Sus scrofa: one gene and its partner. Each later gene encodes a partner of the first gene's protein in a complex. Links are inferred from orthologs where the notes say so. Each region holds a gene or a part of one and is shown on either strand. Other genes may lie near its edges. The genes, in order: MALT1 and BCL10.

The links.
Region 2: the proteins of MALT1 (region 1) and BCL10 are in contact, whole or in part, in a cryo-EM structure (PDB 6GK2), measured with the Homo sapiens proteins. The link is inferred for Sus scrofa from reciprocal best matches to the Homo sapiens genes MALT1 and BCL10. Residues at the interface, in NP_006776.1 of Homo sapiens: Asp46, Gln47, Ala48, Pro49, Trp54, Arg55, Leu74, Glu75, Ser78, Leu79, Val81, Leu82, Glu83, Pro84, Glu85, Gly86, Pro88; in NP_003912.1 of Homo sapiens: Leu13, Lys17, Val83, Arg87, Asn93, Gln97, Thr100, Leu104, Arg107, Asn108, Leu111.

The regions. Positions count from the first base shown.
Region 1 is NC_010443.5:162,087,170-162,096,567, reverse strand, and holds part of MALT1 (mucosa-associated lymphoid tissue lymphoma translocation protein 1), read left to right. Parts: intron 1-4,017; coding exon 4,018-4,195; intron 4,196-4,989; coding exon 4,990-5,064; intron 5,065-5,650; coding exon 5,651-5,778; intron 5,779-8,266; coding exon 8,267-8,416; intron 8,417-9,398. UniProt on the Homo sapiens protein: Protease that enhances BCL10-induced activation: acts via formation of CBM complexes that channel adaptive and innate immune signaling downstream of CARD domain-containing proteins (CARD9, CARD11 and CARD14) to activate NF-kappa-B and MAP kinase p38 pathways which stimulate expression of genes encoding pro-inflammatory cytokines and chemokines.
Region 2 is NC_010446.5:130,641,703-130,651,663, forward strand, and holds the start of BCL10 (B-cell lymphoma/leukemia 10), read left to right. Parts: upstream 1-3,724; 5' UTR 3,725-3,739; coding exon 3,740-3,796; intron 3,797-8,614; coding exon 8,615-8,903; intron 8,904-9,961. UniProt on the Homo sapiens protein: Plays a key role in both adaptive and innate immune signaling by bridging CARD domain-containing proteins to immune activation.

The DNA of each region.
Region 1 (9,398 bases):
TTCTGAGATAAGCCTGGAACCTCGGTGAAGATTTGGGTAGATGGAGTGGCGATGAAAATTTGAGCAGGGTCTTGGGCATTAAAAATAAGGATATCTTGCTCTGGAAGCAGGAAGGAGACTGATGGGGAATAGAATACTTGACAGGGTGTAAATTTTACTCTTTTAAAGGATACAATTTAGTGGTTTTCAGTGTGTTCAAAGTTGTGCGTCCGCCACCTAATGCCAGAATGTTTTCATCACCCCAAAATGCAACCCCATATCCATTAGCAGTTAATGCCTCAGTTCTCCTTCCCCAAACTCTTGGCAACAACAGCTATACTTTCTGTCTCTGGATATGCCTATTGAGGACATTTCATATAACTGGAATTACTCCATATGTGTCCTTTTGTGTCTGGCTTCTTTCCCTCAGCACAGTGTGTTCAAGGTTCATCTCTGTTGTAGTGTTATGTTTATGAGTGGATAATCTTGTGTGGATACAGAACACTCTGATTATCCATTCCTCAGCAGATGGACATCTTAGTGTTTTCCCCTTTGGGGATATTCTGAATAATGCTGCTGTGAATGTTCATGTACACATTCTCCTGTGGACACACATTCTCAGTTCTCTAGCATATTTACCTTGGAGTAGAACTGCTGGGTCATATAATTCTGTTTCTTTTCCTTTTTTTTTATTTTTATTTTTATTATTTTTTATTTATTTATTTATTTGTCTTTCTGTCTTTTCTAGGGCCGCACCCACGGCGTAGGGAGGTTCCCAAGCTAGGGGTCGAATCGGAGCTATAGCCACCAGCCTATACCACAGTTCACGTCAACTCCAGATCCTTCACCCACTGCGCAAGGCCAGGGATCGAACCCACAACCTCATGGTTCCTAGTCTGATTCATTAACCACTGAACCATGACGAGAACACCTTTTTTTTTTTTAATAGCCACGCCTGTGGCATCTGGAAGTTCCTAGGCCCGGGACTGAATTGGAGCCACAGCTGTAGCAACACCAGATCCTTTAACCCACTGCACCAGGCTGGGTATTGAACCTGCATCTCCACAGCCACCCAGGCTGCTCCAGTCAGATTCTTAACCCACTGTGCCACAGAGGGAACTCCTTAAGTTTCACTTTTTGAGGAACTGCCTAACTCCAAAGTACCTGCACTATGGCACATTCCTGCCAGAAATAAATAAGGTTTCCAGTTTCTCTACATCCTAGTCAACATCTGTCATTACTTTTTTTTTTTTTTGGTCTTTTTAGGGCCCCATCCATGGCATATGGAGGTTCTCAGACTGAGGGTCAAATTGGAGCTGAAGCTGCTGGCCTATGCCACAGCCATATAAATGCCAGATCCGAGGCGAGTCTGTGACCTACACCACAGCTCATGGCAACACTGGATCCTTAACCAGCAAGGTCAGAGATCAGACCTGCATCCTTATGGATCCTAGTCAGATTCATTTCCCCTGAGCCAGGATGGAAACTCCTGTCATTGCTTTTCTGATTATAGCCCTTCTAGTAAATGCGAAGTGATATCCCATGTTCCCAAATGGTCAGTGATGTTGGGCATCTTGTCATGTGCTTATTTGCCACTTACATATTCTTTTTGAAGAAATATTTATTCAAATTCTTTACTCATTTTTAAATTGGGTTGTCGTTTTATTATTGTAGAGTTCTTTATATATTCTGGATATAAATATGTGTGAATAAGGATATAAATTTGTATAAATAAGGATATAAATATCCTTTGATGGATATATGATTTGTCCTTTTTTAATGTCCTTAGAGACAGATGAATATTTCCTCCCATTCTGTGGGTTGTCTTTTCACTTGATCTTCATTGCTTAGCAAATTGATCCCAGTCCTTTGCCATGATTTTCAAAACGCTTCCTATCTGTGCACTCTGACTTTCATTTACAGTGATGATTCGGTTTCTTGCCGGGATACTTCTTTTCAGCGACCTTTCTGTTCAGGATCATTCCAGGTCCAAGCCTTGCTTGTTTCTGTGCATCCTGACTATAACATCCCTTGCTATTGCTCTGCCTTTCAGGTTGTACCCTTTCTCTTAAGACCACCTGTTATCACTGCACCTCACACTGACATTCCTCTCTGCACTTTATTCATCTCATTCAGTGGTCGTCCTCATCACAAATACGCCGACTTCTCTTTGTTTAACCACTAACATGAGTGGGGATGAATTAGCTGCAAGGTCCTCAGGGCCAGGAACTCTGTCTTTACTTCTTTTTCATTTTCCTCTCTACCTACACGATAATATTCAGGGCTCACCTGAGGGAGAATAAACCCACACTGAATAAATAGGTGTGTCCACTTTTGTTATTTTTGACCTAAAATGGGAACATATCAAAGAATCATTTTTCTCATTTGAATAATAGTTCAAGAAAAGTAGGCCACCTGGATCTTGCCCTCTAGGACCAAAGGAAACAAGTTTTCTTTGCTCTTAAAAGACACCTTGCTAGGGCTTGGGGCTGCAACTATAAAGAATTAGCTTTTTTTTTGGGAGTTCCCGTCGTGGCGCAGTGGTTAACGAATCCGACTAGGAACCATGAGGTTGCGGGTTCGATCCCTGCCCTTGCTCAGTGGGTTAACGATCCGGCGTTGCCGTGAGCTGTGGTGTAGGTTGCAGATGCGGCTCGGATCCCGCGTTGCTGTGCCTCTGGTGTAGGCCGGTGGCTACAGCTCCGATTCAGCCCCTAGCCTGGGAACCTCCATATGCTGCGGGAGCGGCCCAAGAAATAGCAACAACAACAACAACAAAGAGAGACAAAAGACAAAAAAAAAAAAAAAAAGAATTAGCTTTTTTGTTGGTTTCCCCTATCTAAATGCCTTTTTACTGTTTGCTTTAGAATACCACATAAAGAAGGCATCATATCCAGAATATTGAGAGCAAAATTAGTGGGCTCAAGACACTGCATGCTTAGAGGAGTGTGTCTTCATCAAGTGTTCACAAGTATTTCTATCAAGTATTTTTTATGAGGGTCCATATTGATTTTTTTTTTTAACATCCAAAATGAACTTCTTTTCAAGAAGGTGTTCCAAGTGGTTTGGTGCAGTTTGTCTAGTACTATTTCTCAGCAAAGAAATGACTCATCTTTTGAACATTAAAACTAACCCAAATTTTAGATTAATTCAGATTACAGGTGGAAAGTTAATGATATTTATTTATATCATAACAAAAAGAAATAACAAGCCATGAAATGAGATTTCCTTCTCTGCTTTATATTTTTATACCCCTTACTAATATCATAATAAAATATTATGGAACTTCTCACACCTGACATTGCTATGGCTATTCATCTTAATTGTTTATTCCTTCATCCATTAAATACTCACTAAACTCCTGCTGGTACCAGGAATCACAGATAAATGTAGGACTGCCCTGAAGATTTTACAGAGAAGACAAATGTGTCAAAAGTCCTTAGCCTTTTTTGTTTTTAAATATGAGATAAAATTGCATTCCATATTGTACCAGTGGTAACAAATGTATAACTTTTATGAATTGAAATACACTTCAGGATAGCATCTTGATGTTGGTTTAAAATTCAGTACTTAAATGAAGACTTGCCTATTTTGGCAATTTTCAATGCAAATTCAGTTAACATTGAGTATGTTTATAGTTGCATCTCTTGTAAATAAGCTTGCATTTAACTTTAAGAAAATAAAAGTCGGAGTTCCCATCGTGGCGCAGTGGTTAACGAATCCGACTAGGAACCATGAGGTTGTGGGTTCGATCCCTGCCCTTGCTCACTGGGTTAAGGATCTGGCATTGCTGTGAGATGTGGTGTAGGTTGCAGACGCGACTCGGATCCTTTGTTGCTGTGGCTGTGGCGTAAGCCGGTGGCTACAGCTCTGATTAGACCCCTAGCCTGGAAACCTCCATATGCTATGGGAGCGGCCCTGGAAAAGGTGAAAAGACAAAAAAAAGAAAAAAGAAAGAAAGAAAGGAAAGAAAAGTCGTGGTGTTCCTTTCATAGTGCTAGATGTTCAGAGTGCAATTTCTCTTTCTTTGCTTTTCAGGACTGTTATATTATGCGGGACATGGTTATGAAAACTTTGGGAATAGCTTTATGGTCCCTATTGATGCTCCAAATCCATATAGGTCTGAAAATTGTCTATGCGTCCAAAATATATTGAAATTGATGCAAGAAAAAGAAACGGGACTCAATGTGTTCCTGTTGGATATGTGCAGGAAAAGGTAGGCTGTCCAGTCTTTATATAGCGAAGCTGTCTCATGTTAGTTAAATATCAACCCTGACAAGGTAGATCTAAGGCAAACCTGGGCAAGGAACCACTGAAGTTTGTGAATTTTAGATTATAGACTGAAACTGATTAAGAAGAAAGTTAGAGGAAAATGTATTTTTTTTCTGTGTATACCTGCTCTAGAGCAAAAGTGATGGACGAAAGGGCGTGGGTATTTACTCATACGAGAAAAGATGCAGCTCCTCAGAATGCCTTTGGATGTCTCCAATAATCACTGCAGTTGTTCCTCCAGGAATTAGCAGAAACAGCACCCACAGAGTGGGGGCCTCTAGTCACTCTAGTTAGTTAGTCCTGGTCTTGCAGACATAGGAAGTTTAGCTGACCCATATGTTTGACGATTTGGATTCCATTGGTCTGCCGCTGTGTTATGCAGGAATAGAACCAATGATGATTCTACTCATATTTACAGTTTGCTTGTTCAGCTTTTACCAATCAAAACCCAATGCCAAAAAAAAAAAAAAAAAAAAACAAAAAAATCCAATGCCCAAGTTCAAATGTAACTCCACTTCTAAAACTAATAAGAAAAAAGGATTCTCTGCCCTCTCAACAATGTAGGGACCCTGGATTTTTTTCTGGTAAATATACTAACTAGATAAAGGAATTTTGAACGTATAAATTTAAAATTATGTGGAATATAACAGTATCATATATTTTTCATTATTTATGCTCTTTTAAGAATGCTGTTTTAACTTTTCATGTTTACATCTTTCTCTCCTTCCTTTTAAATAGAAATGACTATGATGATACCATTCCAATCTTGGATGCACTAAAAGTCACTGCCAATATTGTGTTTGGATATGCCACGTAAGAAAACGTCATGTTTATGTTGAAGATTCCTTCATTCTTTGATGACTTCTTTGGTGACTGCAGAGTAGAAGCCTGGAAATATCCATAGACGTCTAGGCATTAATTTGTCTCCTTGATATTCCTTTTTTTTTTTTTGTCTTTTCTAGGGCTGCACACATGGCACATGGAGGTTCCCAGGCTAGGGGTCTAATTGGAGCTGCAGCTACTGGCCTACTCCACAGCCACAGCAACACCAGATCTGATCCATGTCTGTGACCTACACACAGCTCACCTCAATGCTGGATCCTCAACCCACTGAGCGTGGCCAGGGATCAAACCCAAAACCCCATGGTTCCTAGTTGGATTTGTTAACCACTGAGCCACAGTGGGAACTCCACATTCTTGATAGAAAATTCTAAACAATTGACCAAGCACTTCATATCTTGGCATCTTCTTACCAAATACCAGAGCATTTGGTTCCTGCTTAAAGATTAACTATTTAGTTAGGATGTCATGCAAGAGGCAGGGGAATAAATGAGGCTCATCAGTATTTGCAGAAGCCACACATAACAAGCATTTGCTTTTTAAATGTCTTTCTTTTCAGGTGTCAAGGAGCAGAAGCTTTTGAAATACAGCATTCTGGATTGGCAAATGGAATCTTCATGAAATTTTTAAAAGACAGATTATTAGAAGAAAAGAAAATTACTGTGTTACTGGATGAAGTTGCAGAAGGTAAAATAAAAACTAAAGGGAAAGCTACTCAGGGTTCTCTGTTGGATAATTATTTTATTCCTGCTATTACTATGTGGGTTTGGAATTAGTTTTTATTTCATAAAACAACTTTTATATAATGTTCACGACATTCCTGTTTCCTTCCTTCCCTATTGGCTTAGTTACATACCATCTGTGTAGAATTACTTCAGCTACAATATGAGGCTGACCCGGGACACAGTTATGAAACAAATGAAGCTTAATCCTCAGAGCTTATTTTCAAAAAAAAGCATCTTTCAGAATCAGAGGAAACTGTACAGAAATTCTGAGGCCCTGTGGGAAAAAGCTGGTTTCTTTTTTCCCTTGATGAACTAGGCAGTTTTAAAATTCTGCTTCACGGACACAATCCTAGAAGCCTAACACCGCATCCTCCAGTTCCTTCCGTTCCATCCTTCTCTGCCTGGTGTAGTTCTGTGCTCATGTCAGGCACTGAATAAGTACATGTTACAGCTGTAGCCTGACGTGTTTTTTTCGTGTCATTTTATAAATCATATCAAAAAGAAGGCAATTCTTTTGCAGCCTGGCTCACTAGAAAATGGAGTTTTATGGCTGTTCCAAAGATGGAGCTTGAGTATATGGTCTCTGAGTGTTTTACGACCCGCTGTTAGTCACTTTTCGTTTATTTTCATGCTTCTGTCAGTGTAGATCCCTTAGCTGGATCACTTGACTTAACCATTTTCCCCCTTGAGGTAGACAGCCAAGGCTTTGTCCTTCCCGTCTTCAAAGAAGTTCTGCTTTTATCTGCTTTACATATTGTGTGGGCTTCTATTTAAGAATCTCATTTGAAGAAAAAGTACTGGTGCTTAACAAAAATATTACAGCCTTTAGAATATGTCAGTTATTTTCAGAGTGAGATGTGAAGGTGCTTCAAAGACTTAAAATGTTTTATTCTAGTCGTAAAAAATGTTTTATTCTAATTCTAGTCTTTTATACTATTTTAAAACTTAAAAACACCAGTTCACCTATATATGGTGTATACTTTGTTGTCATGGAAATGGATGGCATCCCAGTATGTGCTCTGAGTTTATATTTGAACTTCTGGATTTTTCTTTTATTTTATTATATATTTGAGCTTTGGATCTTCTGGGTAACTTAAAAGTATTCAGGAAAAAAGTACCCAAAGGTCATAGGCCATGTGTGCAAGTGAAACAAAAATATGAAATAAATTTGTTGCTGTTCTCAGGCCACAGCTATCAATCTGTGCCCCAGATTTTGACTGTGTATTACTCCAGATAGCAGTATTGTTAAGTTGCTTGAAATTGCAAAAAGAAATTCTTTCCTATGTAGTTCTGGCAGTATGGTACCCAAAAACTATCTTGCTATATATAAAACTCCCAAGACCTACTAGGAAGAAAATATTTAATGATTTAATTGTTTTTAGTGATCAGAGTCCCTTGGAACATACTTCTGATGGTTTTTATTGTCAGTTAGATGTTCAACGTGAATTTCAGACCTTGACAGTAATCTACATCCAATTGTATGTCCCCTCTATTTCCTTGCCCCCCATTACGTGGCAGCCATTCTTCTGAATCTTGTTTATCATTCCATCGATTTGCCTCCTACATAGTTTTATTGAGTTTATATATGTCTGCAAAAAGTATGTACATTTTTATTTTAGTTGTTTTTAACTTAAAAAGATATGTTGAGTTCCTGCTGTGGCACAGCGGCGTCAGGATCTGACTGCAGGAGTTCCCGTTGTGGATAAGCAGGTTAGGGACCTAACCTTGTCTCTGTGAGGATGCAGGTTCAATCCCTGGCCTTGCTCAGTGTGTTAAGGATCTGGCATTACCACAAGCTGCGGCATAGGTTGCAGATGAGGCTTAGATCTGGTGTTGCCATATCTGTGGTGTAAGCTGCAGCTACAATTGTGATTCAGCCCATAGCCCGGGAAATTCCATATGCCTGCTGCAGGTGCAGCCATTAGAAAAGAAGAGAGAGAATCTAACTACAGTGGCTTGGGTCACTGCATAGGTTCAGATTCAATCCCTGGCCCAAGAACTTCCATATTCTGTGGGTGTGGCCATAACATTTAAAAAAAAAAAAAATACTTTCACCAAAAAAAGAAAAAAAGGAGTTCCCTTATGACACAGCAGGTTAAGGATCCAGCACTGTCACTGCAGCGGCTGGGGTCACACTGTGGCACATGTTTGGTCCCTGGCCTGGGAATTTCTACATGCCATAGGTGCAGCTTTATGAATTTCAAAGCTTAGACTATTAGGGATTAATAGAATTAGAAAAGATAAAAGCAAGAAGGGGACCTTTAAAAGAGAACTGGTCCAGTATTTACCATATCCCTAGCCCTTTGAACCATGTCTGGCACATATTAGGTGCTTGGTAAATATCTGTGGACTGAGTAAGTGATGCTGAAAATATAACCTGATTTGGAGGAGTTCTTAGCTTAAATAAAAGGACGTGGTCTTAAAAATAGTATTTACTTCTTACCTTTTAGATATGGGTAAATGTCACCTGACCAAGGGCAAGCAGGCTCTAGAGATTCGAAGCAGCCTATCTGAAAAGAGAGCACTCACTGACCCGATACAGGGGACGGCGCATTCTGCAGAATCCCTGGTGCGGAACCTCCAGTGGGCCAAGGCGCACGGTACAGTGAAGTCTCTTTTTTTGAGCTTTTAATGTAATATGTTTAGATTACATCATGAAGTGTTTTTGCTTCTGAACATACAGCTTTCCTTCTAATTTTGTGATGAAAATTTTAGCCTTTTGAGTAAACCCAAGGCTAAAAAACTCCGTAAAAATAAAGATTTCAATTATAGATACTACACTGGTTTATTTGATGTTGGAAATATAACCCATTTTTACTTTGGATAAAATTAAAATATGATCATTTAAAAATTTTTTAAACAATTTTCTATTTGTCTAATATATAGTCCCTTAGATTCTTCTATATCATGAGCTGCTGAAGTGGAAGTATGTGTGCTATTTCAAAAATCAGACAGGCCCCTCTTTGATAAACATGTTATCTGTAAAATGCAGACAAAAAAATAGTACTTACCTGATAGAGTTGTTGATATTGAATGAAGTCACATGTAAGACACAAGCAGGATGGTCAGCAGATACTGTGTGCTTGTAAGTATTACTGAGCATAACTGACCATTCTGTCTCCTAGACACTTGAATCCATGTGTCAGTGAGCAAAGAGAAAAGTTGCAGGTGATTTCTGCCTCACCTAATTACCTTTGGTAATTCTATGTGATTTAGTGAAAAAAATAAGTTAAAATTATTGATTGAAATAATGGTTTTTGAATTTTCTGTGAATCCCAAATATCTATGCTGTGGTTAATTAAACAGATAACTGAAAATTGCATTTGTTGAACTCCTGTATAATATCTTTCTTTTCATAATAGTCTGTTCTTTAAGATTTTTGGTAAATTAACATATTGAAGCACATTAAAATGTAAAATGCCAGGAGTTGCCATCATGGCTCAGTGGTTAACGAATCCTACTAGGAACCATGAGGTTGTGGGTTCGATCCCTGGCCTTGCTCAGTGGGTTAAGGTTCCAGCGTTACTGTAGCTGTGGTTTTAGGTCGCAGACACGGGTCGGATCCCGAGTTGCTCTGGCTGT
Region 2 (9,961 bases), on another chromosome or scaffold:
CTCAACAGGATCTGTGGCATCACTGCAGCACTAGGACGGAGGTTTGATCCCGGGCCCAGGTTAAAGGACATGGCGTGTGGAAGCTACAGTGTGACTCAAATCTGAACCATGGCCCTGGGAAATCCATGTGCCACGGGGTGGCCAAATGAGGAAAAAAAAAAAAAAAAAAACTGTAACAGCAAAGGTAAGTGTACTTGGCTCAGAATGGGTGGGAAATAAATTGTCTGTGATCGTTTCTTCCCAGGCAATTGCATGGCTGTGGGATCCAGCCCCTCCCTCAAGGTCCCCCTGCTCGTACATGGGACATCGCCTCCCTCCACCAGATCCAAGTTACGTTGTCCCATGGCCCTAGGCCTCTGACACCAAAGGCCTGCCCTTCCTCTGCACACCAACCAGTCTCCTGGGGGAGGCCAGAGGGAACGACGCCTCCCCCAGCTCCCTCATCAATGTCTCAGTCTTGGGGTGCACCTGCCACTGTCCTCAGGGAGTTTGCTCAGGCCCCGCCCACCTCTCCACACCCTCCTCGCCCTTCCTTCCTATAGGCTGGGAGCCGCTAGGGGGGCAGCCCCACCTGGAGTGTCCCCAAATCCCTGAGCTAAAATGTCTAAGCTCCCCAGGCATCATCTCACCAATAAAACCCAGGAGTATCTGGCTCAGAAAGGCCACTTTTTCCCTCAAACTACTTATGGGAAATTTATAGCTCACATCACTTGAAATAGCATGCATTGCTCACCACAGCACCTGGTATCTGGCAGGAAGTGTTAGAATAAATCATTCAGCAGCAGTTGAAGCTCCGCCTACTGAAGCCCTCGGCCCAGTTTGAATACACCCTCTCACGTTGTCTTATCCATCAGAAATGGTTTCCTCCTCCCACCTCTGCATCCCTGTAACAGCTGTCTTTACCGCAGGCGTATCAGTTGTCCCCAGGTCGTGCAGCGAATCATCGGCAAATCTTGAATTCAAGTATTGAGTTGAACAGCGTCTCTTCAAATGTCTGCTGGAACCTCAGAATGGGAGCTTATTTGAAAATATTGTCTTTGCAGATGTAACCAACATCCTACTGGATTTGAGGGGGCCCTAAATCCAATGATTCGCGTCCTTATTAGAGGAAGGACATTTGGAGCTTGAGGCAGAGGAAGAAAACAGGCAGACTGGAGTTATGTGGCCACAGCCACGGGGCGCCAAGGATCGCCAGCGACCACGAGGCTCGAGGAAGAGAAGGAGCAGGCCTCCCTGAGGCCTTCGGAGGGAGCAGGGCTCTGCCCGTTTGGACTTCGAGCCTCTAGAGCCGCGAGCGAAGACGTTTCTGCGGCTTACACACCCTGTTCGCAGCACCTCATCACAGCGGCCCTAGGAAACCACCACACTAGGCTGGGCTGGTCAGATGCCAAGATCCTCATTTGCTGCTGAGAACTCGTGCAAAGGAAATGATAAATTAAAAGAGAAATGGCCATGGAAAACACAGAGGAATACTCGAGGGGAAAGCTTGTTAATCATAATGCAAAACTGGGGCTAACTTGACGTCTCCTTGGGGAAGCGCTCAGGGCGCCCAGCCTGGTCCCAGCGCCGCCCGCTTGGCCGGAGCCGCCGTGGGAGCTCCCGGCTGGTCTCTGCTTCCACACTTACACCTGCAGTCTGCTCTCTGCCCAGCAGCCAGCGTGATTCTTTGAAAAGGAAATGAAATCACTCCCTCTTCCCCCCCCCACCTCCCGTCTCTTCAAAATGGTCTCCCCACCCTCACTGCCAGCAACCCTGTTCTGAGCCACCACCTCCTGGGGACAAAGGCAGTAGCTCCTTGAGGGTCCCCCGTTCCCCTCTTCCTTTCCCTCAAGGCAACAGTGAAAGCGCGCCTTTTTCCAATCATAAATCGGATCGCGCCACTCCTCTGCTCGGCGTCCTCCAGTGGCTTCTTGTCTGACTCAGAGGCTGTCCTGTGACTCAGAGCAGAGATGAAGCACAGCTGCCCTGGACTTGGCCTCCCGTCCCCCTGCTTTTTTCCCCTGGCTGCTCCCTCTGCTTGTCCACATGGCTCTTTCCTTCAGCCCCTTCAAGTGCGACCCAAATCCCCTTCTCAACAGGTCTTCACTCACCATGCCATACCCCCTCAACCTGCTGCCCCGTTTTATATTTTCTGCGTATTTATCATCTTCTAACGTAATAAATAATTTACATAACATTTTTCAAATGTCTGTCTGCCCTGCCCCAAACACACACACACACACACACACACACACACACACACACACGAATTTAAACTCCAGGAGGAAAGGAATTTTTAACTATTTCGTTCATAGCTATTTCCCCAGCACCTAGAACAGTGTCTGGCCCATAGTTGACATTCAACAAATATTTGTGAATGAAAGAACAACTAGTTAAGTGAATTGGGTTAGAAAAAGATGACGGAAGATTAAGCAATCAGAAAAAATACTGTGTATGAATATGGACAAACACACATGATGTAATGTTAAAAGTAAGATCCCTGCCCTGTGATGGAAAAATACATTGATGCGGCCTTGACAACATTGTTGTTTTCTGGTTCTTGTTTTCCCTTCCTTTAAAGGATTCTGGATCCTCAAATTTGTCTTCCGCCCCCTGGTCCGCATTTTTATCTACCCTCTAGCTTCCAAATACCATATACTTTCTTTCTAGTTTATTTACCATGTTGTCCAAACAATCGTCTTGGGCCCTGAGCCCTTTCCGGACTTATCACCCTCGTTACTTTGGATGCACCGTTCTGAGAATCGTATCTGTTCATCAGTCTCCCCCAGAAAGATGGGAGAACTCTTACGGGACTGGGTGTCTAGAATATAGTAGGAAGGACTCAATAAATGTTTGAGCAAGAGCTGAGCACGGACTGTGGGCCCAGACCTCTAAGAACCTCACATCTGTCACGTCATTGAATTGTCACCTGTGAGAGGTAGAAGAGACACATCTTCATCCCTCAGATGAAGAAATAAGGAAATACGTTTATCATAAACAGTGACCAGAAAGTATGCAGAGGTTAAATGAGGTGTTAAAGTGATGGCATTGTAGGCGGTTTTTCTCTTTCAGAAATTCCTTCAATATGAACTGCAGTTAGGCTGTATATGAGTCTCGTGTGCGCGCGCGCGAGCGTCTGTGTGTGACCAAACCATTGTAAAACTTGCGTGGGCAAACAGCAACAGGAAATCGGTGGGCAGGGGCTGGGAGAAGGGGAGGAACACAGCAGCACCGACCAGCAGAGCTCCAGCTGCATCAGAGCCGCCCGCGCGGGCGGCGACCGCCCACAGACCGAGCCGCGCCGGCCCCGCCCACGGAAACGATCCTCTCGGGAGGCCTCCCCCCGCCCCATGCAAACGACCTGGAGGCCGTGGGCGGGGCCACCCTGGAAGGGCTCCGGCCGGGGGCGGGACCAGGCCGGCCGCGGGCTGGCTCCGATTGGCTCTCGGAGAGACGGGACGGGCTCTCCGAGGGCCGGCCTCCCAGAGGGGCGGTCCTGCGCCCCGGCCTCCGCGAGCGCGCAGGAGCCGAGCCCGGAGCTCGGCGTCTAGACGCGTAGGTCTGCGCCGCCGTCGGCCCGGAGGCAGAGCCGGAAGCGCTTGTTTGACCCTCGGTCCCCCTGTTTTCGAGGAGGTAGCCGTCCCCCCACCCTCTCCGCCTCCCCTCCCCACCCCTCCTCGGGAGGCCGAAGCCCCCAGCCTGGGCGGGGCGGCGCAGCCCGAGCGCGGACCCGGAAGGAGCGCCGTCCCCCGCCTCCGCCATGGAGCCCGCCGCGCCGTCCCTGACCGAGGAGGACCTGACCGAAGTGAAGAAGGACGTGAGTAGCACGGCCGGGCCCGGGCGGGCGGGCGGGGCGGGCTGCGTGCCTGCGGGCGACGGGAGCGGAAACCCGGCGGCCCGGCCCGGCCCGGCCCGCAGCTGGGGAGCAGCGCGCGGTGGGAGAAGCGGCAGGTCCGGGCGCCGCGGGAGCCGAGCCGGCATCGCGGGGACCTGGTGGAAGCGGTCCGACCCCTGGTGACCTGTGAACTCGCGTGTTAAATCAATCAAAGCGGGGCTTGGGTTTCTGGAACCTTGTTGGGTGGAGCGCTCCTTCACAGCCTCCGGCCCACTCCCCACCCATCCTCTGGCGCTTCCAGGGGTGGAGCTACGTTGTCGGAAGTCGGCGACTCAAGCTCGTCCTTGAGTCTGAGCCTTGGCTGCTGGCTCTCTCAGCCTGGAGCAAAAGCTGGACCAGGTAAAGCATCCCAAGCAGTGGAGCAAATATGTGAAACTTTGGCAGCGGGGGTTGAGGGAAGCTCAGCAGCTGAAAGCACGAGTCGGAATTCCCCTAGAAAGCAAACGCCCACGTATTTAAATCGGAGGGGCGAGGGGGAGGGGACGGGGGCCGGGGCCCGAAGGCCGAGAATTTATTTACAGGTGAACGCTGGAAACATTCGGTAGCTGCGTTATGCTCCGCTGCTTGGATGCTGCAGAAATGTACAAATCTTAATATTTATTCACCAAGAGTGACTTGTTTCTCTTACCCTTTGCTCTTAGTTGTTTGTTTTGCTTTGTGAGACTTGTATGAGTACCATTAAAATACTTTGTATTAATTCACATTTTAAAAATCAACATGAACTGTGTTCTCGCTTAGCGCCGCAGTGCTGTACAAAACCACCTTTGTGAAGTGGACAGGAAGCAGCTTTTTAAATGTTCCTGTGCTTCCTTTTCCCTCACCTGTGAGGTTTATCACACTGTACCCATAATGCAGAGTCGGTGTGACTCATTAGCAGAAGGACTCTGGTTAAGAGTAGGGCTTGTGCCTTAATTTCCTCCTTCAGCAGATAATTCTGGGGCGCTCACTAGATGGAAAGCACTGTTCCTCGGCCTGGAAAGATACCCAAAAATGACAGGTCCCTGCTTCCCATTCCCGTCAGAACTCGGATGTTGGTAACTACTAAAGAATGAGTGTTGTGCTGTTCAGGATTTGTGCCAGTAAAAGCATGAACTTCAGGAGGCAGGTGCTGCATCGCACGGTTTACAGTGTTCTAGCGTCATCTGTACACCAGCCTCTGAGGGGGATCGCTGTCTTTTCCATTTTACAGTTGACAAAACAGGTAGTGAGAGGTTGCAAGTGGGAGGTTCCAAAACCCGCACACAAACACAGATGTGAAGGGTGACTGCCAGGCCTGTATTTTTTGCCGTCAGCTCATTGACATTCTCCATCTCCAAGATTTCAGTGCACAGCCAGCTCTGAAATTCATAACCTTGGGGAATCATGCACCGGTTTCAGGACAGCTGTGAAAAAAATAGAGCTGCTCATTTTTTTCTTAGAACATTTTTTCACGTGATGGAAATGGTTTATGACCTTAGAAGGTTTAAAATTATCATACATATATTTGGCCTGCCTTCTTTCCCAAATCTAAGTGCTTATTTCCAAATAGTTGCGGGAAATCCAGTTTGATATCCTTCAGATTCCTCACCTTGTCTAAGGTTGATCATTTTATCATCCCTCCCTCAAAGCTGCTTGTTGTTTCTGCTGTTTTCTCTCTTGAAGAATATACAATCATCCCTCTGTAACTATGGAGGACTGGCCGCTGATACTAAAATCCATGGATGGAGTTCCCGTCATGGCTCAGCGGTAACACACCTGACTAGTATCCATGAGGACGCAGGTTCCATCCCTTTCCTCACTCAGTGGATTAAGGATCCGGCGTTGCCGTGAGGTGTGGTGCAGGTTGCAGATGAGACTCGGATTTGGTGTTGCCGTGGTGTAGGCCAGGAGCTACAGTGCAGATTTGACCCTAGCCTGGGAACTTCCATACGCCTCAGGTGATACCCTAAAAAGGCAAAAAAAAAATCCCGTGGATGGGCAAGTCCCTGGTAAGCGCTGTCCAGTTAGTCCTCCCAGGGATCGTGCCGTGTATTTATTGGTGATGACCAGTGGGGAATCTGAAGCTAGAGAGGCTGAGGAGCTTGCCCAGCTCCCACAGGAGATCGTGGCAGATGCAGGATTTGCACTGAGGTGGGCCTGGGTCCAGAGCCGTGCTCTTAACTTCTCCACTATTCTGCCATGTGAGAAACTTTATCCTTTAAGTTGCGGTGGAACACAGTGTTTCACATTTTTTAAAAATTAACAGCATTTCAATCTTAGTAGAATTCATCTCACACTCCAGATTTCCATTTTTTTTTCTTGAGCAATGAGACGTCTGATGATGTGTGGGGAGGAATTTGAGGGCTGTGGGGAGAGAAGGAAGAGGTACAGCGAGGTGTCTTGTTAGCAGTCCAGGCAGAGTACAGGGGACCAGAACTAGGACGGTGCTAGGGCTCGGGAGGGAGAGGGGGCAGATGAGAGAAGTGTCGAGGGCGGACTGGTGGGACTTGGAGGAAGGGTGATCCAGTGTGGCAAGCGAGTGAAAGGGGAAAAGCCCAGGACGAGTTGTCGGGGTGTATCGCGCGTCTGGACGGATGGCGGCCCTCCCAGGGGAGCCGAGAGCGTCCGAGGAAAAGGATGGGGACGCAGATGCGGCTTGGGGCGTGTTGAGTTTGAAGTACTGCCGGCATCTCTAGGTGGAGAGAGTCTTGATCATAGGCATTTTCAGGAGTCATCCACGCACAGGGGTTGGAAATTGCAGCAGTTGAGCTTTTCCAAGGAGACGGTCTTTTTAAGTCTGTGTTTCTCATTTGTTATCCCCACAGCTTAAATTCTCGCACTCAGCACATCCTGGGTAAGAGAGTTCAGCAGTCTTCTCATGTCTCCTTTGACCCGTTTTTGTTTCTCCCAATCGTCTGTAAAAGTCTTCTTTTCGCCTCTTATTTATAAACCTTTGATGAGGTCCCCCCGCCACTGCATTCCTTTTATGCTTCTAGCTCAGGCTTAGCCTCGATCAATTTCCCAGGTCCTGGAGGCAGAGTCAGTTGCCTGCTCTCTGCATCCCCAGTACTTGACCTGTAACTTTTTTCCAAGTTGTATCTCATTGTCTCCTGATCATTAGCTTGAGTTGATCATGTATTCTTCAGCTAGACCATGTGTCCTTTGAATGCAGGATTCAAGTCTTGTGCGTCTTTGCATGTCTTCGGCTCAGCATGTGGCATATTAGGCATTTAGATATGTGAAGTGTTTGTTGTGTGAATAAATAAATGAATACGGGAGTTGAGTGAACTGAGAACCAGGGGAGCCTTCACCTGATCTGCTTTTCTGCCACTGTGTTCTAGAGTACTTCAGAGAGTTTCCATTGCCTTTAGCTCATCATTGTCAGTGTGAGTCAAATTAGTCGTCATCGTCCTCATCACTAGCATTTATTCATCACTTACTATGTACCAGGCACTTTTCCAAGTACTCTGCATGTGTTAACTTATTCCTCATAACCCTCAGCTGAGGACACTGAGGCACAGAGGAGTTAAGGTCCTCACCCAAGATCCCATATCTTGTACATGGAGGAGCTGCAATATAGTCGCTCACATTGAATTATTAATGCCATTTAGGAGTTGCCTGGTGGTTCAGTGGGGTAAAGATCCGCTGTTATCACTGCTGTGGTGCAAGTTCAATCTCTGGCCTGGGAACTTTTTTTTTTTTGTCTCTTGTATTTTGAGGGCTGCACCTGTGGCATATGGAGGTTCCCAGGCTAGGGGTCTAATCGGAGCTGCAGCTGCCAGCCTGCACCACAGCAACACGGGATCTGAGCTGCGTCTGCAACCTACACCACAGCTCACGGCACCACCAGATCCTTAACCCACTGAGTGAGGCCAGGGATTGAACCCTCAACTCATGGATCCTAGTTGGATTCGTTAATCACTGAACCACGACAGGATCTTCTGGCCTGAGAACTTTTACGTGCCACAGAGGTGACCAAAAAAAAATTATTGGGACCTATTTTGATTTTCGGCTAATTAAGCCTCCTTAGGCACTTCTCTGGTGTAGACCTATTTATGTGTATTTTTCCAAAATCCACTCGTTTCTGTATTTCTTTAGTTTTTTCCAATATCCGCTATTCCTTTAGGTTCCTCCCTGTGCATGCACACGCACGCGCACACACACACACACACACACACACGCACACACACCCATTCTTCCCCCCTTCTACCAAGACTGAGTTTGATTATAGTCTTTCCAACTAACTCCACAGAGAGATACATTATGGGCCCTTTTAATTTAGGTCCTTTCTTGCTTTCTTGATTCCTTTCATGGTTTTACTCTAGGAAGGTAGAAAATTAATAACGTGAGAAAGTTAGAGACGTGACTCCTCTCGCTCAGTTACCTCTGTGGTCTTGACCAATCCAGAGGCCTTGCTGAGTGGTAGCTACCCGGTCCAGTGACCTCTCCCCTCGTCTGCTCCTGAAGGCCCTGGGCACGCCTCCCTCTGTCCGCAGACTCAAGCCCCCGCTTAGACCTGCCCGTCCTCGCAGTAGTTTCCTCCTGGCTTGTAGGTGGGAAGCTGAGACCAGAGCAGGACACATCAGTGACGAATATCTTGGCTGGGACCTGATTCTGTCTCCCTGGACCTTCATCTGATAGTAAAGCCCTCTCGGAGGCCTGAGCATCCTGCCTTCAGGATGCTCTCTCACCAGTTCAGATTCCTGACTGGTAATCAATCACCTATGCGATTTCCTTATGTGTTAAAAAAAAATGCATTGAGGTGTATTTTATGTCTTTCAGGCTTTAGAAAATTTGCGTGTGTACCTGTGTGAAAAAATCATAGCTGAGAGACATTTTGATCATTTACGTGCAAAAAAAATACTCAGTAGAGAAGACACCGAAGAAATTTCCTGCCGAACATCAAGTAGAAAAAGGGCTGGAAAATTGTTAGACTACTTACAAGAAAACCCCAAAGGACTGGATACCCTGGTCGAATCTATTCGGCGAGAAAAAACACAGAACTTTCTGATACAGAAGATTACAGATGAAGTACTGAAACTTAGAAATATAAAACTAGAACACCTGAAAGGTAAGGTATCTCAGAGATCCAGGAGATCACTTAAATGCAGCCACGCTTTTGATTTTTTTTTTTTTTTTTTGTCTTTTCTCCTTTTAGGGCTGCACCCACAGCATGTGGAGGTTCCCAGGCCAGGGGTCTAATCAGAGCTACAGCTGCCAGTCTACACCATAGCCACAGCAACGCCAGATCCGAGCCATGTCTGCGACCTACACCACAGCTCACGGCAACGCCGGATCCTTAACCCACGGAGCAAGGCCAGGGATTGAACCCGCAACCTCATGGTTCCTGGTCGGATTCGTTTCCACTGCACCACGATAGGAACTCCAGCAACGCTTTTGAAAGTAGAAGGCAAAACAAGATAAAAAGCCCAAAAATGATGATTTTGCTTTTATTCAAACAATTGAAGCTTCAGCGTTACATTTGATTTGCACGTTTTTGCCTTATTTGATGTCATTACATTGCAAAAGTGGAATATCACTCAGTGTTCTGTGTTTATGTCCCTTTAACAATATCGTTTAGAGAAAACCTAACTCTGGTGAAATCCCAGTACACACGGGGGTTCGTCTCTCAAGTCAGCAGAGAATGTAAGACTAAGGTGTTGCAAGTCCTCTCCGAACATGCGTACTGACCCAGAGAGCAGCCCGTCGGTGTCGACCTCTGGCAGACTCGGTGGTTTTTCCTCCTTCGAGATGAAGCACTTGGCTTCTGTGACTAAGAGTCAAATTATCCATAACTTGGAACACTAGAATCGCACTCAGTTGGGCGAGATGAGAGAAGCATGAAACAGACAAGGACAAAGGGAGTAGCAGATTCACTGCTTCCAGTTCACGCTCACCCCAGAGCACACGCTCATGGGCGCGCTGTGTAGACTCGTCTGCGCGACTTAAAGCCCCCTTTCTCTCCAGACCACCCACGCTCATGGGCGCAGTGTGTAGACTCGTCTGCGCGACTTAAAGCCCCCTTTCTCTCCAGACCACCCGGCCTGTCTCGTCTTTCTCTGCGGAGCACTTGGGGTAGAGGTGCCTGTGATCAGCTCCCTTCCAGCTGTCCCAGGGCTGGGAAACTGG